4 linked regions of the Alligator mississippiensis genome follow. The protein of the gene in region 1 interacts with the protein of each later gene in a pairwise test. Links are inferred from orthologs where the notes say so. Each region holds a gene or a part of one and is shown on either strand. Other genes may lie near its edges. The genes, in order: PPFIA1, DTNB, PTPRF and PTPRD.

Evidence for each region.
Region 2: the proteins of PPFIA1 (region 1) and DTNB interact in binary tests that used the Homo sapiens proteins (3 or more experiments, as listed by UniProt). The link is inferred for Alligator mississippiensis from reciprocal best matches to the Homo sapiens genes PPFIA1 and DTNB.
Region 3: the proteins of PPFIA1 (region 1) and PTPRF interact in a two-hybrid assay, tested with the Homo sapiens proteins (2 studies listed by BioGRID). The link is inferred for Alligator mississippiensis from reciprocal best matches to the Homo sapiens genes PPFIA1 and PTPRF.
Region 4: the proteins of PPFIA1 (region 1) and PTPRD interact in a two-hybrid assay, tested with the Homo sapiens proteins (2 studies listed by BioGRID). The link is inferred for Alligator mississippiensis from reciprocal best matches to the Homo sapiens genes PPFIA1 and PTPRD.

What each region holds. Positions count from the first base shown.
Region 1 is NC_081825.1:215,795,324-215,802,360, forward strand, and holds the start of PPFIA1 (liprin-alpha-1), read left to right. Parts: upstream 1-4,017; 5' UTR 4,018-4,853; intron 4,854-6,821; coding exon 6,822-7,037. UniProt on the Homo sapiens protein: May regulate the disassembly of focal adhesions. May localize receptor-like tyrosine phosphatases type 2A at specific sites on the plasma membrane, possibly regulating their interaction with the extracellular environment and their association with substrates.
Region 2 is NC_081824.1:1,020,940-1,028,000, forward strand, and holds the start of DTNB (dystrobrevin beta), read right to left. Parts: upstream 3,010-7,061; 5' UTR 2,896-3,009; intron 1,686-2,895; 5' UTR 1,607-1,685; intron 1-1,606.
Region 3 is NC_081828.1:625,410-632,816, forward strand, and holds the start of PTPRF (receptor-type tyrosine-protein phosphatase F), read left to right. Parts: upstream 1-4,390; 5' UTR 4,391-4,546; intron 4,547-7,407. UniProt on the Homo sapiens protein: Possible cell adhesion receptor. It possesses an intrinsic protein tyrosine phosphatase activity (PTPase) and dephosphorylates EPHA2 regulating its activity.
Region 4 is NC_081826.1:185,283,855-185,291,325, forward strand, and holds the start of PTPRD (receptor-type tyrosine-protein phosphatase delta), read left to right. Parts: upstream 1-4,450; 5' UTR 4,451-4,626; intron 4,627-7,471.

The sequences.
Region 1 (7,037 bases):
TATATTGATGCTTCCCATTCAGAGGGGGGAAGTTCAGTATGCAGCCATGTTGGTGAAGCCAGCTGCTTCACAGTTTAAAATGGAGAAGGGAAAAGCAGTTGCAATACTCCTTGTGGGTTCTTGGGGTGCCTGGGACCTTTTGCCAATTGGGGGGTATTGCAGTGTTTCCTGCATACAGAAAACTGGACAACTTTCAGTCTAACTTAAGTTCAGTTTACATTAGGGAAAACAATAAAACAAGAAAGGACAAAAGTCCAAAGAAGATAACACAATGTCTCGGTCTTCCTTGTAACATGTTGAATCGTTTCAGAATAGGATGTTTCTTTCCACTGTGAATAGGCAGAATTCTTAAAGCGTACAGGTGCGGTGCACAGAAAACAATGTCACATGCTGCTTATACGGCTGCCTATAGATCAATAATTCACTGCTGGCGCCACACCCACTGGTGTAAGCCATAGACAGGGATCAGTTTGAGTATTCTTATCCTTGTGGTTTTTAAACCTTGTCCAGGCAAAAAAGGGACTTGTGAAAGCTTTTCATTATCCAAGTGGAGAATTATCATAATATTTCCAAGCATGGGCAAAACAGAGTAGAAGAAAAATTTGTTGGTTTTAAAAATTTCCTAGTTTTTAAATTGGGATGATTTTGGATTATTTTTTCTTCTCTTCCTGGTAAAACCTGCAGGAGGGAAAATATACAAGCCCAAATAATTCCAGTCTAATCAAATAAGATTTTTTTGAAGCTTAGAGCTATGTACAGTGCATTTTTAAAAGTATATTTTCATAGCCTCCACATAGGAATATATATTTTTTCCATAATATTTTAATTTGAAAACATTTATATTAATTGGGGTTTTAACAATTGGATGCTTACTCTTCAAATAATTCCCTGTAAGTGCAATGGTTTACCTATATAGAGGCAGTTCCAGAACTAGAACTTGGGGGAGAAAATCCACTAATTCATTGTAGTCCCATTTAATTTTATTGGGCTTCTAGATTATTTGCTTGCCATCACTCATAACTAGTCTGCTGTATGCCACATACACAAGCCACAGGTTGGCCACCCCTGTTTTATAACAAGAGTTCTGATCTTCTGGCTATTTCTTCCTAAGTAAAGCTTGTGTTCACACGGAACCCCTCTGGCATCATTGGGCTTCAGTGCAGACCCACTTAAAGGATGGGGGCCAAGGAATAAATCTGAAGCAAATCAGAAGCAAAAGTGACTGTTTTCCAACATTTACGTTAAAACCTGTGCTTTTAATAATGATTATGTATAAAGTTTTACTGAGATCATTTTGACAGCACAGGTATAATTAGCAAAATCAGTTTTCTTTTCTTCTAGGAATAACATGAATTAGTTTCAGCTTGAATATTTACTCTTTTTCTACATTAGAAAACCAGATCTTATTACTTTGGATAATGAAACTTGGTTTGTGGATTAGTCAACACAAAATCTGTGCTGACCAATGTTGCCTGATTTTTGTAAGTTGTAGGAAGTGGCCCAATATGTGGTGCTTTTAGTAAAGCCACAAATTTCAGAATTATGTGATTCCATGAAAATCTTAGCTGTTATTTTTAAAAAGGTTTTAAACTACTTGGTTGCAGAGAAAAGCTTCAAGAAACCTGTGTTCACCTTTATGGCTTGGATACCAAAGGCAGGTATGAAGAACACAATGGGCATGTCTACATGTGCATTAATGTGATTTTCCTAAAGCATATTAAATTTAGTACCTCCAATATGAGGTAATAAATAAATGTACATCAGGTTGTGCTAATGCATGGTAGTGCAAGCACACACATTTTAGGTGATGCTTAATGTGCACTAACCTATTTCAGGGGTTCCCAACCTTTTTATGCTGAGGATCGGCAAACAGTGGACTGGGAAACTGCGGACCAGCAGTGACTTGGCATACTGTGGGCAGGAAACAAACCCTTTTTTATACTCAGTATAAAAACTGGCTGCCAGTCCAGAGTATGCTAGTCACTTCCAGTCCGCAGTTGGCCAGTCTGCAGTTTGCTGGTCCGCAGTCACTTCTGGTCTGCAGCAGTCAACCTTCCTGCAGACCAGCAGCCAACCCTTTGCAGCCCAGTACCAGGCTGTGGCCCGGGGGTTGGGAACTGCTGGCCTATTTTACTGCACATTAGCTTACTAGCATGGTTTTTAAGTGCTGCTTCAATGCGCAGTAGAATAGGCTACAGCACATTAAAGTGCACATGTAGATGCTCTCGTTACATATTTATTTTTAAAGATTTTTTTTTTAAAGCCAGTATCACAATTCTTTGTGGGACAGACTCAGTGTATGCTTAATTTCAGTACCATGCTTAATGTCACTTGTCTCACACAAACCTGTAACAAGCTGTTTCATGCAGTCCCTGTTTCCTTTTGTGCATTCCAACAGCCCTGCCGCTGCCTCTGCTGAATTGAGGCTCTGGGTTTAACAGGACTGAACCAGTCTGAAAATGCTGCCATCAGTAATCAGCACTGCTGAAGGCAAATATTTAAAATAATACCATGTAGTATCAATCAGCCTGTACTTGAGGTTTGAATTAGAAGACTAACACTGTTCCCCACGCTTTACGAAATAAGCTCCCTCCACCAAAGTGAAAGAGCTTTCAGTGTACTATAATACCAGTTGTCTATGGATCTCCTCAGTCCCTATAATAATGACTTCCCTATTTACTGGAAGACTGTCATTCTGGTACTGAGGGACTGGTGCTGCTGAGGAGTCCCTGTACAGACAGCTCTTTGGTGGAGATGCAGTTTATATTGGAGAAAGTTCTTTTGCTGATATGGCTTAAGTGTGTTCCCTGATGGCAATAAGCTATAGCAGGAAAGGACTTTTTGTTAACATGCTGGTATTTACTGACATTGCTTTATCAGATTAGTGGCTTGCTTTTTTAATTTTAAGTAGCTACTCATAGACACTATGCTACTAAAACGTTGTCGTGTAAAGCAGGCCTTAGGGCTGTAAGGCAGTGCATCTGACCACATGAAAGCAGTTTCACTGGCATAAAGGTGCTTTGTGCTGGTAGAGGTATTGCTACCAAGACTGGAATGAGTAACCATTATAACAAGGCAAAGATTTGTTTGTTTTTTTGCGGGGGCGGGGGGGGGGTCATTCCATTGTTCATTGGGTCCAGGGCAGAGTTGGAGTACAGTTAGGCATGCTTTCCCTTTGAGGAGGGAGCAAGTGAACACAGGGAGCAGCGCAGGATCATCTTCATAAGGATATCTGTGTCAAGAACATCACCACAGCACTATTTCGAAAATAGGCGAGGTGTTTTCACAGAAAATGAGGGCTGGAAGGGACTGTAGGACGCCATCAAGTCCAACCCCTGCTCAAAGCTGGACATCTCCCAAGTCAATTAGCCCAGCCAAAGTTTTGTCTAGCCAGGTCTTCAAAACCTCCAAGGATGGAGACTCCACCACCTCTCTGGGGAACCTGTTCCAGTGCTTTCCTACCCTCGTAGTGGGAGAGTTTTCCCTAATATCCAACCTAAACTCCCCTTGCTGCAACTTGGGACCATTGCTCCTTGCTCCATCACCAGCCCCCGCTGAACCCAGCCGGGCTCCAACCTCGTGCCAGTGAACACTCGTGTGATCTCCCCAGCCCTGGGGCTGTCCTGATCTCTCGCTCACCCTCCAGGCTGCTGGTTGCAGCCTGCCTGAGGAGCAGAGGGCGGCGGGCAGCGCTGGAAGAGACCTCCCATGGGCAGTTGCGAGGGGGAGGGGCACAGTAGCGGTGAGACCCTCCTCCCTCCCCTACACCGCGCCCCCGACCGTCGGACGCTACCACTACCTGGGGGGAAGGAGGTAGGACACGACACCAGAGGGTACTACCATTGGCCGCGGGACGGGGGGCGGAGGGCACTACCATTGGCTGCGGAGGGTGGAGGGCACTACCATTGGCCGCGGGACGTGGAGGGCACTACCATTGGCTGCAGGGGGGTGGTAGGATTGTCTCCAGCCACTGCTGGCGTTAAGGCGGTGACACCTAATTGATTGCCAACATTTTTTTTTTTTTTTTTGCTCTGGAAAACAAGAGCGCGCCCCTCAGAGGCGCTGGTTGTGGGCAGAAGCGGAGCGCAGGACAGTCCCCCTCCTCCCTCGCCGGGTGTGTGGCGCGGGCAGCGTCCCACGCACGCGCACAGTAGCGCAGCCCTCCGCGCTCTGGAGCCCAGCGTTCTGGGGCTGCCGCTGGCCCGAGTCTCGGCTCCGTGGGGGAGGGGCCTGGACCCGGCGCGAGCCGCGGGGCGCGCAGTGCATTGTGGTCGCGCAGTGATTGCTGCGGGCGCGGGGCACGCCGGGAGCGGCGGCGGCGGCGGCGGTGAGAGTGCGGGTGAGGGGCCCGCGCCGCGGAGCGCCCCAGGGTAGCAGCAGCCGGAGCCGGGCCCGCGAGGACGAGGCGCGGGCGCCGCCATCCCCGCGCCCGGGGTATAAATGAGTGAGCGACGCGGCAGGAAGGGCAGGATCCCGCGGCTGCGACCCCAGCGCCCAGGAGCTGCGGCTGCTTCCCCCGCCCGGAGCCGCGGGCGAGGGCGGCGCTGAGGCGGCAGCGGACACGTTCCCCCGCCCATGGTCCCGGCGGCGCCGAGGGCTGGCAGCGGGGAGGAGAGGAGCTGAGGCCGGGCTGGTGCCTGGGGGACTCGGGGGCCCTGCTCTGCGCTCCGCCGCCTCTTGCTCCGGCTTGGGGCGCCGGGACGGATATTGCAGGGCGCTGGATGGCAGCTCCGCGCCGCTACAGGGGCTCGCGGCTCCTGCAGCGGCAGTAGGAGAGGAGAAAGCCGCGGGGGAGACCTGGTGCTGCCGAAACCCTGGGCCCACGGTGACGCCGCTTTGTTTCATCGACCAAGGTAAAGCAGCGAGCAGTGGGTGGCTGGCGCCTGCCTCAGATCAGCTTAAAAGCCCCAGTATAAAACAGTGCTGGTGCTTGGGACAGGCCTTCCCGGGGAGCTTCTCATTAATTCAGAAGTGCGGGCTCTGCTTGTCACAAATAAGTTTAACAACTGCCTTAGGAACTCCAATATTAGGAAGTAGGCACCGTACTTTCGTTAGGGATAGTTTAAAAGTTGCACGTGCAGCTTCATAAACCATCGTTTGTTCAGTTCCCGTGAGAAAAGTTGATGGCAGTTGACACTGTGGTACTGTTGGTTATGTATTTCGTTGCTTTTCAAATGCAGGAGGACAGAAACTTCCCTTGGTTCTGAAGTCTGGGTGGCCCAGGATTCAAACCAGGCTGTAAAATGTAGGATCCCTCCAGCATGAGGCCTTATGCTTTTGCCATTACTAAGCATGGTGGGGTGTACAACAACGATACTTCCAAGTTTATATTTTTATCATACTCTCTGCGTGTGTCTCAGTCCCTCTTTTTATATCTGACAGCTGCTGATGTAGCGTGCTGGCTAGCAGTCAAGTCCTGTTTGTTTAGTATTTAAGACCTTGAACAGCCTTTCTTTTCGTTTTCACTTTCTCCGGGTTGACCTCTTGGCTTTCCCTGTGGCTGCATCCGGGTGCAGAAATCCGCTGTTGCTAATTTTCATGCAGTAAAATTGTCCAATAGAGATTTTTGTGGCTTCGGTGGCAGCTGAAAGTAGTGCCTCTTCCCAGGATGGTGGAGTGCAGTATCAAGAGTTTGAAAGAAGTATGATATAGGCTTCAATATGTGTGGTTTGTGGGTTTTTTTGTTGTTGTTTTTGGGTTGAGGCGTGCTTAATACTGTTTAAAGGTCCAAACAACTTTTTAAACAAAGCACATGCATCCTTTATAAATTGGCATCAGAAATAGTGTGGTAGATGTGTAGCTTTTCAACAGAGTTGGCATTGGTAGGAAGTGATACTGTAACAAAACTGCAATAGTAATATTTTTCAAACCTAAGACACTGGTTTATATAGCCTTAAATCCAGTAAACTATAGATGTTTGGCTGTGTGCATAGGGTTAAGCTGTAGCAAGTCGGGATGTCCTATTTGTAGAGGGGGGAAATCCCCCACTCTGTATACATGCCCTTTTCAGAGTGACCAGTTTACTTCTGAATGAATGAGAATTATTTTCTCCCACTTTGAAAAACCTATCTTTTAATATTGTCCAACATACAACCCAGTTGTTTTTCCTGCAGCTGGCACAGGGGAATTTGTTTCAGGTTTGGTCTTAGGCTTTGCTTCTCTCTTCACATACAACATGGTGTCTTATCTAGGTTAGGTTAGCTTCTAGTATTGCTGTCACAGGTGGGATTAAACAGATGGTGTATTACAGATACACACGTATGTGGTGTAGATAAGATTCTTCAATAGTTTTTTTTTTTTTTTTTCATTTTATGTATCTTGTTTCAAGGGCCAAATCAGTTCCAAATTCACTTGGGCAAATCTCAAAAGCCAAGTTTCAAATTTCAACTGAGCAGAGCTCAGTCATTCAAGTCCATGTGGCTCTACCGCTGGGGAAGTATCTTCCTTCTCAGACGCGTCAGTCTGGGGCTTCGGATACTCCCCGAAACTCTGGCAGGCATCCTACATGCAAGCCCAGGGCCCAGAGACCCTGGGGTTCAGATGCCCCCTAGTCTTGTTTGCTCCTAACCAAAAGATCAAGGAGTGAGCCAGGAAAAGCAAGAAAGCAGTCCCACTTTCCTATGCAACTGTGTAGTCGAGTTTCCCACGTTTGGGAAAACTCTCGGGTAAGCCTGCCCAGAATGCAAGGGACAGGCCTCACTCTTGGGGGGGAAAAACATCATTGTATCTCCCTAGGCTTATGAACATTTTTGTTTTTGGATTTGTATTCTGTACTTTATTGCTAATAATTAATGGCCTGAATTTAATTTCTTAATTTCAAGATGATGTGTGAGGTGATGCCAACCATCAGTGAGGCAGAGATTCCCTCTGGGGGAAATGGAGGCCATGGTTCAAGCTCCCCGTTACAATCGGATGCTGATTCCCATTTTGAGCAGTTAATGGTGTCTATGCTGGAAGAGAGGGATCGTCTCCTGGAAACACTAAGAGAAACTCAAGAGACACTAGCTTTGACACAGGGCAAGCTACATGAAGTTGGT
Region 2 (7,061 bases), on another chromosome or scaffold:
TATTCATATGATAGTATTCAACTTTTCCACACAATTCCTAACTTTTCTATGTTCAAGATGGTCCGTAACATTATACAGCTATCCTTAAAAAAAACCCCTAACAACAACAACAAAAAACCCCAAAAACAACCAACAAAAATAAGCTTTACATACCCAGGACATTCAAAGTTTAATTAAAAAGAAATATTAAGGTATATAAATACATCAGTCAGACTCCCAAACAACAAACTCTGTAACACAGTAAGGACAGAACCACATAAAAAATGTTTTAAAAAAATTATTACAGTTTGGACTAATATGATTTGGGATCACAAAAAACTAAAATAAGATCCTAATTGTATGGGGTTTTTTTGCCTGATGTCATTACATGACAACAAAAGTTTTCTACATCTCTTACCTGATAATACTAGTCTGAATTTTTCAAATGGGTTTGTAACATTTTTGGGGGGATACTTGAAACATCCATGTCCTTTTTGTTTTACTCTCCCTCAACTCAGTATTATGAACTCTGAATTTCAACTCCCTATTTACAAAGATTTGTCTGGAAATATATATGTATACATGTTTTGCATTACTGGCCTATAATTAAAATTGCATCCAAGTCCAGGTGTCCCAGCCTGCAGCGCGCATGCCACAAATGGCATGGGAAGCCTTCCTGTGTAGTGCACAGATCAGGGAGGAAACCAAGGAACACAACAGCAGATAGGACAGAGAATAGAAAGCAAAGGAACAGGTCAAGCAGGGAGCACAGGGCAATGGGAGAAAGCAGAGCAACAGATCAGTCAGGGGTAACAGATAAGGGTGACACTCAGGGTGGATGCAGGGCTTACTTTGTGGCACGCCTGACAAAGATATTTGTCCCCACCGCTGGAGATCAGGTGTGCTTCTAAGTAGCTAGGAGCCAACCGAACATGCAACGAGGGCCACCCCATGATGCCCCACCTTCAAAGCTGTGGGCAGGAAATGGAAGCTGGAAGAGGGAGGGAGAGACCAGCACAGGAGAGCAATGGCGGGGGGAGGCCAGCCACTAAGAGACAGAGCACCAGTTAGACAGGCCTGTTATAGATCACGGTAGCCAGTATCAGCAGTCACACTTTGCAGAAAAATTGAGAACATAAGACATGAAGAAAAGCTTCTCCATCTGAAACTACTAAGGATATTTTGGAGGGAGGTAGTCCAAGCTGAAATGTAGTCAATTGGTAATGCCGAGATTTAGCTTTAAACACTTGAAAACGGTACTTTCAGCAGCACAGTCCTACCCAAAAGGGTGCAATGTTGGGATAATGGTTCAGTTCCAAAGGGAAGAGTGCCACCTACTGAATCAACACTGTCCAGACCATCAAAGTTTTCTTTGCAGGTCTCCTATATCAATATTCATCAGGCCTAACCTTCCCTACCATGGATGTGGCTGCAGGCACTTTTGACATTCTACAAAGAATTTTTCACAGGTCTAGATGTACAAGTCACTGCTCTGTACTAAGCATTTGCCCTGGACGAATTGTTAAATATACATTATGAGACACTAACTCAATAATTTCGTTAATGTATCTGCACCTATGCGCATATATGTTTGATATCACAGGCTGGTTACAACAGTCAGCATTACCTGGATCACACAGGAAGCTTTCTAGGGACAACTTTCACTTTTCTATACACAATTTCCTCTTTGTACTTTTAAAGGCAACCTAAAAAAGGAAAAAGAAATGTTTTGTCCTCTATAAACAAGGTCCGCCATTTTCCCAGCTCACTTTTCACTCTGGAACAGCGGTTCCCAAACCGACAGGCTGCGCACGATACGACCTGAAGTACCGCCAGCAAACTTTTCAGTTCAAGCTTAAGTACCCCCCGGCACGTTTTTGTCATATAAAGTCATTATAATCAGTCTGTGAACAGGTACCACCGGCGGGCTGTCTGCGTTCGCGTGCCGCAGATTGGGAACCGCTGCTCTAGAAGTCTCACGAACGTTACGTCTGCTTCTCGCCACGGGACCCGGTCACGGCTAAGGTGAACCATAGCACGTCGGGCCGGAGGGGACCTCCCGGGGTCGCATCCAGTCCAGCTCCCTGCTCAAGGCAGGATCATCCCAGCCGCGTGTCCGTCCAGCCTGCTCCTCAAAGCTTCCAAGGACGGAGGCGCACAGCTTGTCAGGGCGGACGCGACCTCGGAGGATCGTCGGGTCCAGCCCCCTGAACCCGGCAGGGAAGACACGTGGGGTCAGGCAACCCCGGCGACGGGACCGTCCAGTCTCCACATCTGGACACCCCAAACGTGCAGAAGTGTTCCCTGACGTTGAGCCCGAATCGATGGTCCAGGAGCTAGTGGCCGTTACCCCCGGTTCTCCCCTCGCGTGCCCACTCGCCGAGCCCTCAACGTGGCCCCAGCGCGGCCGTGCGCTGCTACCAGCCCCCGCCCCCCCGCACCTCTAGCCGCCCGCTCTCCTGCCTGACCGCGCTCCTCCTCGGAAAGTTTCACCCCCCCACCCCCCGAAGAGGCTGCTCCCCGCCGCGCCCCGCTCCACCCTCTCCCGAGAAGCGGGGGGGGGGGCGCGCGGGAAGGCCTCAGGGGCGGCTCGGAGGTTTGTATGACACCCAAACCGCGAAATACAGGTGGGGAGCCCCTGGCCTCGCCGCCGAGGGCGCAGGGAGATGCTCTCTTCCAACGCGCCCTGCCCTTGGCGCGCGGGCAGACGCTTCAAGGCGGCCCCGGCAGGTCCCGTCCCTTCCCGTCCCGCCATGGTGTTGCACGACGAGAGGGCAGCTGGACGGGGCGGGGGGAGGGGAGGGGCAGGACGGGTTTGGGGGGGGGGCCCAGGCCGCAGCCCCCACCCCCCCTGGCGCAAGGGGACGCCCCGAGCCCGCACCGCCCCGCCCCGCCCCGCCCCACATCCGCACTCACGTTCCCCGGCCGGCGGCCCGGGGGCAGCGGAGCAGGCGGCCGCGCCGTCCCCGTCCTCTGCGGAAACCGCCTCAGCCGCTCCGCTGCGCTGCGCTGCGCTCCAACGGTCCCCGGCCGCCTCGCGGGCTCCAGCCAATCGCGGCACGCCTCCGCAGGGGCGCGCGCGCACCGACCAATCCGGGGCGGCGGCTGCCTGCCCCTCCCCGCCCCCTCTGCCCGCTCTAGCCAATCCGCCGGCAGCGCTGGCCCAACCCCTCCCCCTCCTGCTCCTCCTCCTCCTCCCTCCCGCCCCGTGACGCTCCTCCGGCCAATCGGCGACGCGCTCCGTGCGTCGCGTGCGTTCCCGCGAGCCCCCGGCCAATCAGCGAGCACCTCCATGCGCCCCTCGCCCCCAGCCAATCATCGGCGGCCGCCCCTCGCCCCCAACAGTCGCCTGCGGCCCCCTCGCCTCCTCCGCAGCGCGCAGGCGCAGTAGGGGGGCGTGGCTCTGAGGGGACAGGCCTTGAGTGTTTGTGGGCTGTGAGAGACGTGGATACCTATAGATGTACACGTATAGAGAGATACATACATACATACATACATAGAGGGATATACATGTATGTAAAAGACCTCAGTCAGTCACATCCGCAAAGTGCAGAATTTAAGAACAACGCCAAAAACTGTGAGATTTGGCAAGTGCTGAAATGGAGGTTTCCCCTCAGCTTCCAGGCCGTGGGGGCCACGTCGTGCTTCACCGAGCCTCTCCCACCTGCCTCCCGGGGTCGCGCCAGGACCCGTCTGAGGGCAAAGCGCGCTCTAGGCCTCGGCCTGCCTGCGGACAGCTCCGAACTGGGCCCGGCGCAGGCTGGCGGGGCGCCAAGCCCGGGGGTCAATGTCGCCCCTTGCGCAGGACGAAAGAAGACGCGCTTGCTGCCTAAAACGAGGCTTGACGGGCAACCGGGAGTCCGGATCGCGATGACGTGCGGAGGCCCTAAGCGACATCCCTCTGAAGAGGCCCCGCACAATAAAAATAATCCACGAAATCGGATCTTCGTGACATTTTAAGATGAATTATTGTTATTTCTGCACAGGTTTATGACCTCGGTATGAAAAATAACTGTGGCGCCGTGAGGACTACGTGCATTAGCGTTCTACGGATGCGTGTTTGAGTTTGAGCCCTGCCCGCGGCAGCTTTCGGAGCACGTTACACACCTGTTCGATAGCCTCTGCCCGCAGTTTCCCCAGCTACGTTTTGCAAGTTTTGCCTCAAGGCTAAAACTGATGGTCCGACGGGTATTTGTAAGCACTTTCAAACCCATTTGCAGGCTCCAGTTTCACTCTAGAAGTAGCGTTGAAGACATAAGCATTAAATAGATGAGGATAAAAGCCTCAGGTAAGTATTTGTATTTTTCACACTCTTCTTGAACAACGGGGCCAAGTGAGGGAAGGAATTAATCTCGTCAGATGTGGCAGGAGGACTGATAAGTCAGACCAGTACACAAGTGTTCAAAAGGATATGAAGAGGGGCAGAGCGAGGTGTGAGGACTTCATTTCTGCCCCCACACCTGTATGTTGCATTTCAGTCCCCCTTCCAAAAGCTGAAGTGCCGAGACCAGTGAGGAATGGGAATGGGAACGTGGCAGGCACTCGGTGCTGAGATGGAGCGAGGGGCTGCAAACGGGCATGTCAATTGCCTGATGGTACACAATGCTTAGATCACAGCTGGGAACTGAAAAAGGGGAAATCTGATACAGGGCCCAAACACAGAATGAAAGGCAGCACAAGAACTCCCATTGAAACGAATGATTCAATTCCTGCGTCCCTAAGCAACTTCTTCATTCTGTTTCCATTTCCAAAGGGGCGTTATTCAGGAGAGAACAAATCCCTGGAGTAACTGGGCCACTTCATGCTGGTTTGAGCCTCTGATGCTGCAGATGTAAACGTAGAATTCCTTTATGTGCTAAGGCAAGATTTGGCATAGGAATTTTACAGATCCAGCCCCAGCTGGTACGTGTCCTAAAATAGCACCATCACTTTCTCATGGCTCCTTCAAGTTTAACAGGAAAATGGATCATGGAGGAGAAAGGTCTGGTTGGGTGGTCACAGAGCAGCACATGGGTGCTGGAGTGGTCAGAATCACGTGTGGTTGTCATCAGCAGCAATTCCTCGATTCAGTGATGATCTCTACCATGGCTCATTGACGGGTTTGAGGTGACATAAGAGTCCAGTGCTTGAGCCACAAATCCATCCACAGAAGTTGCAGGTCTTTCCACAGGGGAGAGTAGGCTGCAGGCAAGGATTTCTCTCCTTTTCCTTTCTCTGCACTCTCTGCTTTGAGAGCAAAAAACTTTACCTCAAAGTGGGCTGCCACTTGGTTGAGGTTAAGGTGTCATTGGGGTCAGTTGGCAATCAGCTCCTTCCAGCTTTTGATGTCAGCTCCTTACTGAATCATTCCCAATGATTATTGTTAGCTCCAGCAGGCAGAGGAAAGTTCGCATTGTACAGGTGTTTTCTTTTCTGGTTTTCTGAAATCTAAATTTGCATTGCCTTAACTTGGTATTTCTTGGTCTTGAGAGGTTTTAGTCCATCACGTCACATCACAGTGGCAACTTCATAGTTTCATAGTTGGTTGGGTCAGAAGGGACCTGAGCAGATCATCAAGTCTGACCCCCTGCCATGGCAGGAAAAAGTACTGGGGTCAAACGACCCCAGCAAGGTGTTCGTCTAACCCCCTCTTAAAGACCCCCAGGGTAGGAGCCAGCACCACTTTGCTAGGAAGTTGGTTCCGGATCCTAGCTGCCCTGACTGTGAAGTAGCGCCTCCTGATGTCTAGTCTGAATCTGCCCTCTGCCAGCTTGTGACCGTTATTTCTAGTCACTCCTGGTAGTGCTCGGGGAAACAGGGACTCCCCCAATGCCTGCTGGTCCCCCTGACAAGTTTGTAACAGGCCCCTAGATCCCCCCCTCAGCCTTCTCTTGTGGAGGCTGAAGAGGTTCAGGTCCCGTAGCCTCTCCTTGTAGTGCCTGCCCTGCTGCCCCCTGACCATGCAGGTGGCCCTCCTCTGGACCCTCTCCATGCTGTCCACATCCCTCCTGCAGTGCGGTGCCCAGAACTGGACGCAGTACTCCAACTGCGGCCTGACCAGTGCTGCATAGAGGGGGAGGATCACCTCCTTGGACCTGCTCGTGATGCATCTGTGGGTGCACAAGGTGTGGTTGGCCTTCCTGACCGCGTCCAACACTGTCGGCCCATGTTCATTTTGGCATCAATAATGACTTCAAGGCCCTTTTCTGCCTCTGCACTGACGAGAAGGGAGCTCCCCAGCCTGTAGGTCTGCTGCTGGGTCTTCCTCCCCAGGTGCAGCACTTTGCACTTGTCAGTGTTGAAACCCATCCTGTTCTCATCTGCTCACCCCTGTAACCTGTCTAGGTCTGATTGCAGCCTATTCCTCCCTTCTAGCATGCCCACATCCCCCCACATCTTAATGTCGTCAGCAAATTTGAACAGGGTGCTTTTTACCCCCTCATCCAAGTCGCTGATGAAGATGTTGAACAGCGCGGGTCTGAGGACTGATCCCTGGGGGACCCCACTGCCCACATCCCTCCGGGTCGAAAACGACCCGTCCACCACCACTCTCTGGGTGCGACCCTCCAGCCAGTTAGCGACCCTATTGACTGTGTAGGTGTCGACGCCACAGTCCCCTAGTTTTTTAATGAGAATGGGGTGAGAGACGGTGTCGAAGGCCTTCCTGAAGTCCAGAAAGACTACGTCCACTGCTACCCCTGCATCTAAGGATTTTGTGACCTGGTCGTAGAAGGCCACCAGGTTGATCTGACAGGACCTGCCTCTAATGAACCCATGTTGGTTGCCCCTAAGCATAACCTCCTCTGCCGGCCCCTCATGGACATGCTCCAGAATAATTCCATCAAAAAGCTTACCCAGGATCAAAGTAAGACTAACGGGCCTATAGTTTCCTGGGTCCTCCTTCCTCCCTTTTTTGAAAATGGGAACCACATTGGCCCTTTTCCAGTCCTCTGGCACCACCCCAGAGCACCACGAGTGCTCGTAAAGCCATGCCAGGGGTCCCGCAATGACTTCTGCCAGTTCCCTCAGCACTCTGGGGTGGAGATCATCAGGACCAGCTGATTTAAATACGTCCAGTCCCTCCAGAAGTCCCCTGACTAGAT
Region 3 (7,407 bases), on another chromosome or scaffold:
CCGTAACTAATATGATTTGTAGAAGGCCAGCTTGCTGGGTTTTGTAAGAGGTTTTTCTTAAATCACCATGGGGGTCAAGCCCTTTTCTGATTTATATTGCTCTTTGAATTTATTTTTGGTGGGTGAAAGGCAATGGATTCACTGTACTGTGGCCTGGTGGCCTCATTTGTCCACAGAACAGCTGCAGCACAGGCAGTGACAAGAAATAATTACTCACCTGTATTTCTGCTTTTCTGAAGAGAGCACCTGACTGCATTCCCACTTTGGGGCGGCAGCTGTCTAGCACGAGGCAGGCCAGCACTCCCATAGCTCTCGGATTTTGGACCTTTGAAGAAGTGCCAGCTCCACCTGCTGCCAATACCAGCTGTCCGTGCTCCAGCGCCCCTCTTTACCACATCCTGTTGCAGCAGGAAGCAGAGCGCTCGTACCCATTAACAGATGCCCACGGGATATTTACATGCCAGGAAGAGACTATCAGGGAAAAATGTTTCCAACCGTACCCCATCCTAGCTTCGTGCCAGGTGAGTGGGAGTTCATAGCTAGGCTTACTATTTATTTTTCTGATTGTGTCTTCAGGCATAAATCAAGATCATAGACCCATTGTGCTTGGTGCTGCCCAAAAACATAGAAAAAGAGAGTCCCTGTTCCACAAAATGTACTAGCTAAACAGATGAGACAGACAAAAGGTGGTGGGGAAAAGGAGGATTTCTTGTGCCTATTTTACAGAGGGAGCCGAGGGGTTGAGAGATTAACCGAGTTGGCTAAGGTCACAAAGAGAGTCTGTGGCTGAGCGAGGTGTCCCAAGTTTCACACTCGTACTGTGATCATCAATTTTCCTTTCTCCAGTCAAGCAATATCTTCAGAGAAGCAGACTCATGGGTGAGTAATTATCCCTTGTCACAGATAACACAGGCTGGACTCCTACTCTTGGAGACTAAAATGCTTCAGGGACCTCTCTCCAAATCCATAGCTCCTCCAGTCACAAAAAAACCTTTGCAAGTTTATTTTTATACGCAGGAGTATTACAGAGACTTCCCATAACACTGTCTACAACAGGAAGTGAGTGTTGGGGGAAATATTAAAAAGATGGTGAGCAGTCAGAGTCAAGATCACATCTTCAAGGTGTGCTGCAAGGGAGATCTACAGATGGAAAATATTTCTTTGCAGTTGCTCACAGTCAAGCATCAGACCAGATATTACCGGACATCATAAGCAGTGGCAGGAAACAGTAGTTTGCAAGAAGACCCTCCTCATGAAAAATCATTTCTGGAAAGGAAGTGCCTCGGATGGATAATGTCCGTTAAACACATAGTGCAATCTCCCAGACTTCAGTAGGTCAGTCCCATAGAAACAACTTAGTGACCTATGTGGTATTAAAAAGCTAGTGACCTGATCCCTTGACATTACAGTATTCCAATATATTAACTGTAAACAAGACTCGTTCACAAATACATATACACCAGCCACTCCTCACCCTCCAGACAAAACAAGACAGGAATAAAGGAGGGCTTTATAGTAATCATTTTTAATAGCATCAAGCAGCTCAGCAGAGATCTGGCCCCAACTATGCCAGGTTTTGTACATCTGCACAGTCAGACGGACTGTCTCAGAAAACTTGCAATCTTAACAGACAGAGCAGACCAAGTGCATGGCAAACAAGGATGCAGAAAGGCAAGTGACCGGGCACTGTACGTAGGAGGCCAAGTGAAGAAAGACCCAAACCGACAGAATCCACCTGAGACTGTCCTATGTCTCTGCATGTGCAGCACCTAGCATGCTGCACCTCCACCCCAGGACAGAAATGTGCCTGAGGACCCTGTGTCCGTCCTGACCCTTCTGCTGACCCTGACGAACTCGGCTGTCGGTCTGCCTTGCATCGAAGGGCGCCCTGCACTGAGATGACATACACCTCAAGGATCTGAAGGGTTGACAAGCTGGCACGTCCTACACCATCGGATAATGATCTAGTCATGGAGCACCAAAGAACAATTCCTGGTTGACCCTACGTTCTTCAAATCCTCCAAGTACCGACCGCTCTGCTTCATGCAGCCAGATGCACCAAAACACCACATCTGGAGGCAGCTGTACTGTATACTGAGGCTTCTTGCTTCAGAAGGCAAAACCTTGCTGGGTTGCTTCCATGGGACAGCTGTGTGCCTGGAACCGATGTATAGGGTCTGTAGCATGACTTAGTAGAGGCTTAGGGCACCAGAAGTTTATGCGCCAGGTACGATGAACCACAGTCACTGAAGGCCAGAATTTTAAGATATTTAAACACCTACAGGTCTCTTCAAATAGCTGGCCCACAGCAAAATTTCAGCGTCTCAACCAGCAAGCTTCCAAAACAGAGGAACATTTGGAAGTGGACTGATGTCATCATCTTTAACTCAGCAGTATTGACACCATCTTCGCTGAGGTCGAGTCCAACACGTGGATCACGTATTACTGTGAATTTCTGGGACGCAGGGAAGTCCTGATAACCTGCCTCCCGCTTTGCAGTTTTGCAGCAGTATGCGGACCGCCAGTTTGGGGAAAAAGATCTCAAACCTCAAGGCCTTTCTGAATCAAAGTCTCTCTCTCCAGGAGGCAGAAATACAAGACTAGGTCAGGTGCTTGTTGCAAGGTAGAGGCCAGACTGAACATGGATCAAATTATTCTCAGCTGGAAATTTGAGACGTTATTCCTTCAAAAACTTGGGGCAACGACTCTGGGATGGAGAAAATGCTACGCCTCCCCTAAAGACTCTTCACCTTCTAATATCACTTTGGTTCAATCCGGAAAAGAACGAGAAAAAGACAGCACCTCTGTGCATCAGACAGATGTACTGGCACCCGAAACTCTGACGGGAAGCTCGATGCCGCAGGAGGCGCTGAGATGTCCAGGCCGTGCACAGGACGCCAGCTCTGCTCACGCCTCGCGCACCAAAGCAGTATCCACACCTGAGGCACGTGAAGCAATAACCCACCGAGCACAAAAATAATTAATGCACTTAATCTACAGCAGCCAAGAAATTCTGCTCATCTCAAAGGCATGCAGATAACTTAGACAACTTCAGCCATGCAGATTAAAGCATCAAAAGAGCTACCAGCGATGCAAGAAACTGCTTCTTGGTCCAGGGACTAGAGGGGAACCAGAACAAAGAGATAAGAGGATACGGAAAGGGCACAGATCTGAAGGCTGGAATAAGCCTTGACAGACACAGGCCCGTAGTCGATCACGGTTGAAATGGGCCTGAAACAGCAGCTGATCTGCTCGTCCGAGAGCGCCTCAAAGGGCCCAACGTACAGCGTGCCGGGCCCTCTGGCCTGCGTGTGGAGAGCGGGGAGACCCAGGGACGGAAGTGGTCCGATCGCTGCCGTACTTTTACAGGACGTACACTTGCTACGGCCACGTGCCTCGAGCTCGGCCCGCGGGAGCTAGTCCTCGCAGCCGGCTCCGCTACGACGGTCAGGTCCAGTCGCGAGATGGACGTTCCCCCGCGACGCGCTCGACGAACCCGCCAACTCGTTTCTCGCGGCCTGCGCGTGGCAGGCTGCCCGCCCTGCGGGATCGCCCCGGGTCACGCGTCCCTCATCCACCCCCGCGAGACGCGGGCCGCCCAGCAGATAAATGACAGGGCATTCGTCGCGTCGAGTCTGATTTACACGGTAGTCGCGTGGGCTTTTAACAGGTAACAGTCACGAGCGTTCTCCTTCCTGACGTCGCACCTGCGCTTCGCGGCGTGCAACCGGTGCAGGCGAGCACGCCCGCACGCGTGCCAGGAGCTGCCCCGGTCCGTCGGCGAACGGCGGCCGCGGTCGCTGCGCCCGGCCGGGTTCGAGCCGCTCCTCGGAGCCACGCCGCCTCCGTGACCGGTGTCCCCACAGCCAGGCCAGCACCCGGCACGCCCCGGCGCTACGTTGCAGCGCCTCCAGGACACGCGTGGGATTGACATGTTTGGTAACACGCGGACAAATCGTGCGGCTCCACGCGGCCAGGCCGACCTCGAGGGGCCGCGAGCCACGGGACAGCGCTCCCCCCGGCCGGCCGGCCCTCGCGCGTGGGGGGGGGATCTTCTCTGTGGGCCCCCGCCGCCCTGCGGACCCGGCCCGCCCCCCCCGGGGTCCCGCGGCAGCGCCCCACGCGGCTGCTTCGGCGGGGACCCGCGGGGCGGGGCAGGGCAGGGCACGACCCGAGTGGGGCCGCGGGGGAGCTCGGCACCGGCATGGCGGGCAGAGGGGCCTGGCCCTGCCCGGCCCGGGCCCGCGCGGGGGAGCGGCGCAGCCGGGAGGGGTCGGGGTGTGAGGGGCGAGGCCGGGGCCGCGGGAGCCGGTGAGGCGGGGCGGGCGGGTGCGGGTGCGCGGGCGCGCGCGGCCCCGGCAGGGGCGGTCCGGCGGGCGGGCGCGCGCAGTGCGCGGCCCCGCGGCGGCGGCAGGAGGAGCGGCGCGGCGCGGCTCGGCTCGGACCGGAGCGGAGCGGAGAGAAGCGAAGCAGACAGAAGCGGCTCGGCTCGGCTCGGCGCCCGGAGCCTGGAGGCAGCATGCGGCCCCCCGCCCGCCCCGCCGCGGTGAGTGAGTGAGTGCCCGCCCGCCCGGCCGGCCGGCCGGGAGCGCTCCGCCGCCGCCGCCTGTTGAGCCGGGGGAGCCCGTGGCCGGGGCGGCAGGTGCCCTCCCGTCCTCGCGGGGCCGTGCGCGGCGTGTGGCGGGCGGGCGGGCCGTGTCGGTGTCGGTGTCGGGGCGGGCGGGGGGCCTCACCTGGGCGCGGCGCGGCGCGGCGCGGCGCGGGAGGCGCCATGGCCGCGGGCCGGGGGCGCCGCTCCCCCCGGCCGGCCCGGCGCAGCCCCCGCGGGTGCGGTGCGGGGCGGTGCGGGGCGATGCGGCGGGCAGTCGGGGCGTCCCCTCCACCTGTTGGCGGCGGGGCCGAGCCCCCGGCGGAGTTTGCAGCGGGCCGCGTGTCGGTGCGGGGCTGGTGGAGCCGGGCGCGGCGGCGGCGGCGCTGGAGGAGCCGAGCCGAGCCGAGCCGCGACCCGAGTTGTGCTGAGCACTTGCTGTTTGGAAATGTCGGGAGGCGGCTCCCGGGAGCAGGACGACGAGAACGCGGCCTCTCCGTAACCTAACCACCTTTGTTCGTTTCTCAAAGTACGCGTTAGCGAGGTGACCAACTTAATCCGGATTACCCGGCGCCTGGCCTGTGGGCGACGCGTCGCTGGGGCAGGCGGGCGAAGGCTGCCGACGCGGGTTTCTAAGTGAAGTGTGCGGCCCTCCCTACGGTCGCGTGGAAAACGCCTGGCTCACGAGAGCGGTTTGACGGTGGGAGGCCGTGTAGTTTAATCCAGGTTTTATTACTTCTGCCGTGGCGCTTGGCTGCGGGTCTGAGACCTCGCCGTGATTTATCCCCGTGCGCTCGGCAAGCTGAACTCGGTACGCCAGAAGTACGCGCTGTGTTACGCCGGCCGGACCCGTCGTGCGAGGTGTGGGAGGGAGGGAGGGAGGTGGTCGGTCGCCTCGCCTCGCCTCGCGCTGCGCTTCTGGTCGGGTGCCTTTCGCTCGCCGACTCGACTGGACTCGACCGGGCTCCGGGGAGCCGTGTTCGGGCATGCAGCCCGAGGCTGGAGTGTGATGCACCATGAACATACATGCAGGGGGTTAAAACCACGTATGTGTGAAGAGTCCGCGCACCACTTATGCTCGGCAGGCTTTTATAATTCAGCTGAGTTACCAATATTGCCATCTGCCCTTCCCTCTACGCGCCTGGCCGTAAATGTGTCTTGGAAAGACGTGGCTCTGAGCAAAGTAGTAGAAACCATGGCTGTGTTGTCTTATTCTCGTGCTTGCTGCGAGTGAAAATGTCAGTTGTTAGGGAATCAAAGGAGAAACCTTCCTGTGCCGGTCTCGTTGTGCGACTGGCTTGAGAGGCGTACAGGTATTTTTAATTTCTTTCTTGCTCATCACACTGCTTTTGGGAAAATGTGAGTAGCTCCTGTGCTGCTGCCAATGACGGTTATCTGAGCTGGTGATTAGAAAGGAGAAGGATCTAAGCTTGTGGGTAACGGAGAAGAAATGTTTTCCTCTTTGAGTCCACATAATGCAGGGCTGTGGGAAGAGATGCTTAATGAGGATGATTATTGCTGTGGCTGTGGCTTTCTATAAATCCACTTGTAATGGAGGCTTTGTACAGTTGCGTCTGAATCTGTACATTTAAAAACTGCAAATAGCGATAATGGAGTTGGCTAATAGCAGACTGTCAAGTAAGTGCAATCCTTGTGATAACGTTCAGCCATAGATCTCAATTTAAGTATTACTTCTACCACAAAACGTTTCTTATAGAAGTCACTGTATAAATAGTCTAAAAAAATGCTGCTGCCTGTTTGTTCCTTATGCTCTTGAATCCTAAGTGAGGAACTTCCTAATTAAGGGTGGGTTCCCCACTCGGATCAGGGGGCTGTAGAGCCCCTCCGACTGGTGCGTAGCTGGTTCAGAAGACCTCGGTTCTGTAGAGACGTTATTTGATGGTTAGAGACTACAGGCAGCTGATAGGAAGAAGCATAGTAACCGGCTTAAACAAAAGCATTATTGTTTATCAAATTGCCAAACCTGGCCTGGCATGCATGAGAACAAAAAAAGTTTAGACTTGTGTCTTATAATAGGATTGTAAACTTACAAACCCATGAAGCTTTCTTTTTTCGCTTTCTTTTTCTTTTGGATCAGCTAAATGCCACCAGGCAGCAGTTTTTATCCGGCCTTGCTAGTACGTTATTAAGGACAAACCTCTGCATTACAATTTCACAGTGGTTTGGTTTTTTTTTTTTAAGTGCCTTTTAGAATCCAGGGCTAAGAGTTAAACTACTTATTTCCATTATGCAACTTAAAAAGGCTGGTTCAAAGATGGTAAGGGAAATGCTGATATGTAGCATGTAGCAGACTAAAATTACTCATCTACTTGGCCTAAAACACGGTCATTACATCCCTCCGCATTCAGTAATTTGTGTGGTAGTTTATACATTACAATATGCTTTACACACAGCTTCAGGAGGTACCGTATAGTTAGCTCATTCTTGACGATCTGGGGACATTTCCCTGCGAGAACTTAGCTGTGATACTGTTCAGTCCATTACTTTATGTACACCTTTAATGTGGTCTGTGGGGACTTCTTAAACACATTGCATTTTGCTCAGATTAGCCAGTTTTGCCTATGGAAGCACATTTCACATCCACAAACTTTTGTGTTCAATTCCAGACTATACACTTACTTTCCAGTAGAAACTTGTAATTTTGTGGGAAGGTAGCTAACTAGGATTTCCTCTCTTGGAAAGAACTGCAGCATTTTTGTGAGAAAAGTGTCAGGAAGCACACACACCGCAAGGCCTAAAACTTAAGGATCAACCGTTACATCAAAATTGAGCTATACACATGCTTTAAATTGCATATT
Region 4 (7,471 bases), on another chromosome or scaffold:
GTCCTGGGACCGTGTAATTGTGGACCTACAGTAATAATGGACAAACAGTGTTTCCCAGGTGGCCTGTGTGCATTGCACTGGCCTTCTGCAGAATCCATGGGGAGATTTCATGACCCACCTCTGCAGCTCACTCCAGCAATAGCAATCTCTATTCTTGACCAAATATTCAGGAAGAAGCTTCATAAGGAATGTTCCTGCCACTTGCCATCCATCCCATGGGTGTCACTGTAGAACCCCCATTTGCACAGCCTCATTTAAGTATTCCATAAACTGAGGTTTCTACCATTTCCCTTTGGAGCTCTTAGTTCACAAAATGTATTAGGGCTGAGAAATAAAGTCAGTTTTAAAAAGAAAAGTAAGTGCCAACACATCCCTAAAGGCAGACATAAAATAAGCTGGTATTTTGCATCTTGAAACTGTTATGTTTGCACTTTTCCCAGTCTTCCTTTTTCATTTACATTAACTTCATATCCACTATTTATAAAATGTCCAACCTCAGCCATACTTTTGAAAGGTACAGTGGTCAAAAGAAAATGAAGTAGAATATGTCTAAAAAAGTGCTGATGACAAGTAAGACAGCAAATTTACTACTCTGGTTTATAAAATGCTGGTACCCAAATCACCATTATTATGGTATCTTTGGAGGGGTGGGGAGGGGGGAGTGTCATAGGTACAACATTGCCATTAGGGTGAATTTTGTTTATCTATTTCAAATGACAGGTGATATAATAAGATTTGGCAAGCACTGAAATCTGGAACTTTTTTCTCCCCTGGAAAAGTGATATTTTTTTACTATTTTTTAAATTAATCTTTTCCCCATTTTCTAAATGCCATAATTTTATTTAGCTTTCCATGTGATTTTCAGAAACTGTGTTCCCCAAACAGTTTCATCTACCCCCTCTCCACTGTTCCCTTCTCCCTCTTTTATGATACTTTGTAATGCTGACTTCATCTTAGCCTTTACAAATCGGGTAAATCATTGTGTAATGTTCTTGATGCAGAATAGCGGCTGCATTTCAGTGGCAGGTAATATGATTCCTAAACATAGTACACTGCACAGAACTTTGATATAAGTAAAAGCTGCTGCATATCGTGGTGCTACAATGGTACAAGCTATTCTTCATAAATAAGCTTGGAATGAAATAGAGAGAGAACGCATATTGGGCTGGAAAATAGATCCATATTTGAGAAAAATAGGGAATCAAGAAAAATAGGTCTCTGGTCAAATGAAATTTAAAAAAAAATCATATTTGAGGTAGGTTTTAAGTTACTTAAGGTATAATAATACTTTATGAAACAGTTCTACACTACATTCCTGTATTGTATATTAAACTCAGGACATCTGCAACTTTATTAGAGTAAATGGGAGCATATTTATTTATAATTGAATATAGAACTGGCAAGCGACCTACTCAGGTGAAAGCATCCATATTATGTTGATTTGTTTCACATGATTGCTACTTGCAGGCAATCTGTCTAAGAAAAGATATATGTATAGGTTTTTCTTTTACAGTGCAGAGGAGAAAGAGAGATTTTTCTCTTTGCATTATTTTTTTTAAACCCCGTATCTTCATCATTTAGTATTTTGAGTGATCAAAGTTATGTGGAACTGCTTCCTCTGTTACATTTTGAGGAGAGATCCTGACCTATTGTAATCGGGAGCTGGGACACAGGTGGAGCTCCTAACCTATTCAGGGCCATTTTCTGCTTTGTGAATGCACACTGAATTCAGCAGAACTCTGGCATGTTTGAGGAATGCAGGATCCTGACCTAAATGGTTCATTATGACCCTGCAAAAATATAGATCAGATCATTTCCTAAGTACCTCTGCCTCTAAAGCACCCGGCCTTAGGCAGAGGAGGTGTACGCATTTGAATGCTTTGTCAGCCTACCGAGAATCCCTGTATTTATCATTCCAGCTGGGACAGATTGTCACTGCTTGGAAAACTGTGCAGCGTTTCCTTGTCCAAGGTGAAATGAGTGCATCAGGCAAGCAAGTGGATCACGCCTCCCTGCTGATTGAAAACCAGGTTAGCAAACAGGCTTTGGCTGAGACTCCTCTGTTTTGATTATGAATTTGCAGCGTCTTGGGCCTGCATTGTATTGCTGGTTTGGATTGAACCTGCTGCTGTGTGCTGCCTCAGGAGGTGTTGCTAGCCAGGCATAAGCAGGTGATTGCAACCAAGAACTGAACAGCTAGGGGCTGGGGTGGTAGTGTCTCCAAATGGAAGTGCCTTAGTCCCATGTATAGCAGCTTTGCTTTAGAAGCTCAGTGGCAGGTAGCTGACATGCCAAATAAAGTTGCATTTAATGGAGATTATTATCTTCATTAGCATTATTAGTAGTAGTAGTATTTTTATTATTGTTGTCCATCTTTGTCTTCATTATTATCTGCATTATTATTATTATTATCCTCATTAGTATTATTTTGTACTTAAAGACTTTCTTTTCATACAGCCTTTTAATAAACCATTCTGAGTTGGTGAAAATCATTTGCCCATGGGTGTGTGCGTGCACATGTGCACAGTCCTCCCAACAGGAGGCAAACCGCAGAGACTTCTTGACCTGAAGAACTGATCTGCATTTCCAAATCCTGTTGCAATTTAAATGTTGATATGATCTACTCCAGGAAAGATCTGACTAGCCACTCTTAAAAATGTAGTTATATATATTATCCACCCTTAAAAACATAGTTACATATATATCTATTATATTGTATATTATATATTAAGCCACTCTTAAAAATGTAGTTACATGTGTGTGTGTGTGTGTGTGTGTGTGTGTGTGTGTGTGTGTGTATATATATATACACACACACACATACATACACACACAATACTATAAGTAATAATATAGTGTATATATAATTATACCATACTATTACTTATAGTATGACATAGTATAGTAATATACATATGTAATACAGTATTACATGCATACATATATAAGTAATAGTAAAGGAATGCAGATGTCCTTGCCCTTGCTTCCTTACTCCCCAGGGAGTGGGGAGCCGTGGGGCCCCCTCAGTCTATGGCGTTAGGATTTGCAGCCCCACTCCCTGCTGGAAATGACTTTGAGCCCCCCCCAGCTCCGGAGCTGAGCGTTGCCGCCCCGCCGAGCTGCCACAGGACAAGGCGGAGAAGAGGAGAGCCGGGTTTGGAGTTGATGTACACGCCGGAGCAGCAGGAAAAAGATAGAAGATATCGACACGCTCAGCTGCATCTTGTTAAAAGCTTCCTGCGGGTTGGCAGAATGAAATCTTTATTTAAAACACACAAAGTATCGTCAGGGGAGGGACGGAAGGGAAAACACTGAAAGGGCCAAATGCTTTGCTTAACCCGCCGGTGGAAGCAGTGGGGGTGGGCGAGGGGTGCCAGGCCAGGATCCGCTCAGCCCGGAGAGACGCGCCCCTGGGCCCGGGGGGGCGGGGGCTGTGCTCCCCCGGGGCAGCCTCGTCCCCTGCCGCGCCGCGCACTTGCGCTAAGTGCCGCTCTCCCCGTTTGCTTCTTGCCGGCCCCGTGGCTTCCAAGGGGCATTATCTTAATGCATTATTAATTGTTTTCCCAGGGAGGGAGGAGGTTTATTATTATTAATAGCGGGAAGATCGGCTATTCCTTTGGCCTCAAATGCCGAGCAGGGGGTGGGCAGCGGGTCCCGCTCTGTGTGGCGCGGGGTTGTTGAACGTGCACCACACGCGCGCTCACCCCCGCAGCCACACACACACACACACACACACACACACACCTGCCCGCTGACACTTTCTGTGACACACACATCCCCCTCGCTCGGGCGAGGAGTTGAGTGGGTAGGTGTGTGCGTGCCCCGACCTCCCCCCTCGGCCTGAGCCCGGGCCGTGCGGGGCGCGGGGAGCCAGCAGCTGCAGCCGGCCGCGCGGGTGGGTGGGTAGGTAGGTAGGGCCCGCCGCGACCCGGGCTCAGGCCAGCGCGGGGAGGCAAGTTGCCGCCACAGCGCCCCCGACTCCCCTGCGGGCTGGGGCCGGGGCTGGGCCCCGGGAGGCAGCGCGGCTCGAGCCATCAAGTGGCTCGTTAAGGAAATGCAGGTGAGCGCGGGGCTGGGGCTGGGGCCGCCGCAGCCGCCGCCGGTGGGGATGCGCGTGTGCGTGCATGTGTGTGTGTAGACGCCGCTGCTGCTTCCCCCCACATCATCTCCCTCCTCTCGCCCAGCCCCGAGCCGGAGCCTGCGCGAGTGTTTCACTTGCACCGCGGCGCCGGCTCCGGGCTCCCGCGCTCCGCCCGGCTCCCCGCGCACCTCCGAGCCGAGCCGCTCCTGCTCCTGCCCCCGCCGCGGCCGCTGCAGGTAGCTCCTCCCGGCCCCGCGCCGGGGCTTTGCGCGGGGGAGGATTTATCTTCTTTGATTTTATTTTTGGAAGGGGGGTGGTCCCTGCCGTGGAGCCCGGGCGGGCGGCGGAGGTGGGGCACGCGGCTCCCCGAGGGCACCGCCTGCCGGGGCGGGGGCACGAGACCGGCGGCTGCTCCGGGAAGGACGTGCCCGCGGGGCAAGGAAACTTGCCTCGTGCAACTTCACCCGAGAGGAAGGAGAGGAGCCGGGGGCAGAGACGAAGGGAAGCCCCTTCCCGCGCGGGGCCGTAGCCCCCGGAGCCCAAAGGTGATGCTGCGCCGGGAGACGCGGGTTATTTGCCCCTTTTTGAGGGGAGGCGGGCGGTGGGTGCCTCTGCCCACCCCGATCTCTGGAGCCGAGCTGCCGGCTGCCCTCCCTGCACGGAGGCATGGAGGAGTAGAGGCTGCATGGCGGGGTAGAGCTCATAGGGCAAACTTAAGGCAAGCGGGTGGCTGGCACCAGGGAGGGGGAGAGACGAGCGGAGCCCGGCAGCGCTCGCACGCGGCAGCCCTCCCGGGACAGTGCATCCACGGCCGGCGTTGGCGGCCCCCGAGCCCCGCAGCCGGCGGGCAGGCACGGGGGCACTGGCGCCGGGAGGTAAGGGCAGGGCAGGGCAGGGCAGGGGGGTGAGGAGGCTGGAAGGCACCAGCGAGGGTTTGGTAATCTCTAAATAAAACCTTTGTGTCACGTCAGGAGAAATAAGAGTCGAGTCAGTTTGTTTTGAATGCACTGGAAGGAATCAATAGCATTTCAGCGTGGGTTTTTTTTTTTTTTCCTTTCTTTCTTTCTGTTATTACTGCCAAATGGACTTGGATTTGAATCCCTCTTGCACTCCTCTCTGTCCTGTCAGGGTGGACTGCAATTGGGGGGGGGGGGGTGTGCAGGAGGGTCCTGACACCTTATTTCCCATGTCACATCATGCACTTTCTCTCTTTTTTTTTCTTTTTTTAAATTTTTTTCTTTATTTAAATGGTGCAGCAGCAAAAGTGACTCTGTTGTGGATTATTCCCGTCAGCTCTCTAATCAGGAGGCATTTCAGTCCCATTACTTTTCAAAGTTATAAGACTGCGGCTATGTTTTTCAAATGTGTTTTTTGTCAAGCACCCCAGCCTGAGTCTATGATGCATCTTAATGCCATTTATTTTAGTTTTTTAACTTGGAGCCTGTAGCAGCAATTGGCTGTTTGCAAAAGTGCAAGTTTACTAGTGTGAAATCGGATGGTTTTATTTGTTCAGTAATCAAACGAGAGCATATGGTGACAAGAGGGCCAATAAGACGGATCTGATTTTGGACACAAACGTAATACAGACTGTAATACCAAAGATGTACAGTAGTAGAATAAAATTCACAGTTGCCTATGGCTACCTATAAACTCCACACTAGGAATAATGACAGGGTCTACATAAAAGTTCCCAGGATGGTGAACTAGTGGCAACTTACCTATTGCATCACGGCCCTCTTTATGACACTAATGGAAGCATTATGGCAGGGAAATGTTGTCTAAAGAACTTCTGAACCTTGGGAAGTAACAAAAATAACAGTATATTATATGATGACATAGACGTCCTATTGTTTCATGGCTACGTACTTATTTTTAGCTTGGATGAAGCATTTTCTTTTTTTTTTAATACTAGAAATAGCTAACATTTAGACCCTGCTCACTGTTATGATGAATTTGTGTGGAAAGGATTAAAAGGATGTAGCCAGCTAACATGCATGAAGCATTTTGAGACATCATGGATAAAAGTTTATTAGGTTAGGATCATAGTAGCACAAGGCAATCCCCAGACATGCCACATGTGATGTAGAGTGTTTAATATAGGGTCCTTTTTATTCTTTTGCCAAACTATTAATATTAATATTTACTCCATAAGTATAAGAGACAAACATGCTCTTTGGTTTGGATTCAATGACAACACATGTACAGCTTTATTCATTTGCTGACTAGTCTTTACTTTTCCATTTTTGGGACATTCTATAAATATGTGCAAATATAGAATTTCTTGTGGGGATATTTAACGATCTTTATAAAAAATGACTTGATGTATATATATTTCTTGCGCAGTAACTTATTATTACATGCTATGGGAAATGACCAGAGTTAAAGTCCTTAAAATTAAATCTTGTGCGTATTATGTTAGATCATATATATGATCTTGATCATTATTATTAATACAAGAGAATGTCAAATCAGGACAGTGTAGTTCAAAGGAAACAACAGAGGACTTCAAAAATCTTTATTGCCTTCCTTGAAACAGAGATAGTTACATCTTCAAGTTGATAGAATAAAGTTGCTGGTGTCAGCAGTAATGTGTTTTATTATGCAATTGTTCTTGTTATTCAGATCAGATAATGGCCTGATGAAATATATAAGCAGTCTGCAGGGGATGAATGATTAATTCCTCAAACGTGTGCTTACTGTAGGAATTCTTACTAATAAAGTGCTGTATACCTGCATTTGCTTACAGTTACAGTTGATAAAGTCAAATAGGGTTTGCTGCTTTAATATTATTATATAGTGTAAAAGTATACTAGAAAAGTACGGTACAATTTTGCACAGTAATTTGACTTAATTCAGAAAACTGTTTAAGGACAATTTTGACAGATAATGCATTTTGTTGCATTTGGCTTTATGGAATAAAGTGACAGTGAACAGACAATGTGATGCTTGACTACAAAAAGAGACTAGATCAAGGCTGTATCTCAAAGTGGCTGATGTAGTGAATTAAATAATACTTAGCTACTACTTACAGTCTGCTTTGTATGGCTTGGATTTTTTAAAACCTTTTTATTAGTCATAACTTGGGAATGTGTATTTTTTATTCTACAAGTTCTAAACATTGTAGCAAGTGAGAAAAACTAAGACATCACTGGCTAAAATAGAGAACAGACCATTTAAGCATTTTAGGAGTCACTACTAAAGATGTTTACTAGCACAACCTTCAGTGAGGATGAGAACAGGTCAGTAAATGCAATCCACTAACTTAGAGTAAGCTTTGATTTAGTTCCACCCTGCAAATATTGAGGAGCTGATAGAAAGCAAGAACTTTGCAAATAGTGAAATAAACTTGACAAAATTATAAAATGTACAGATATGTTTATGTAACAGATC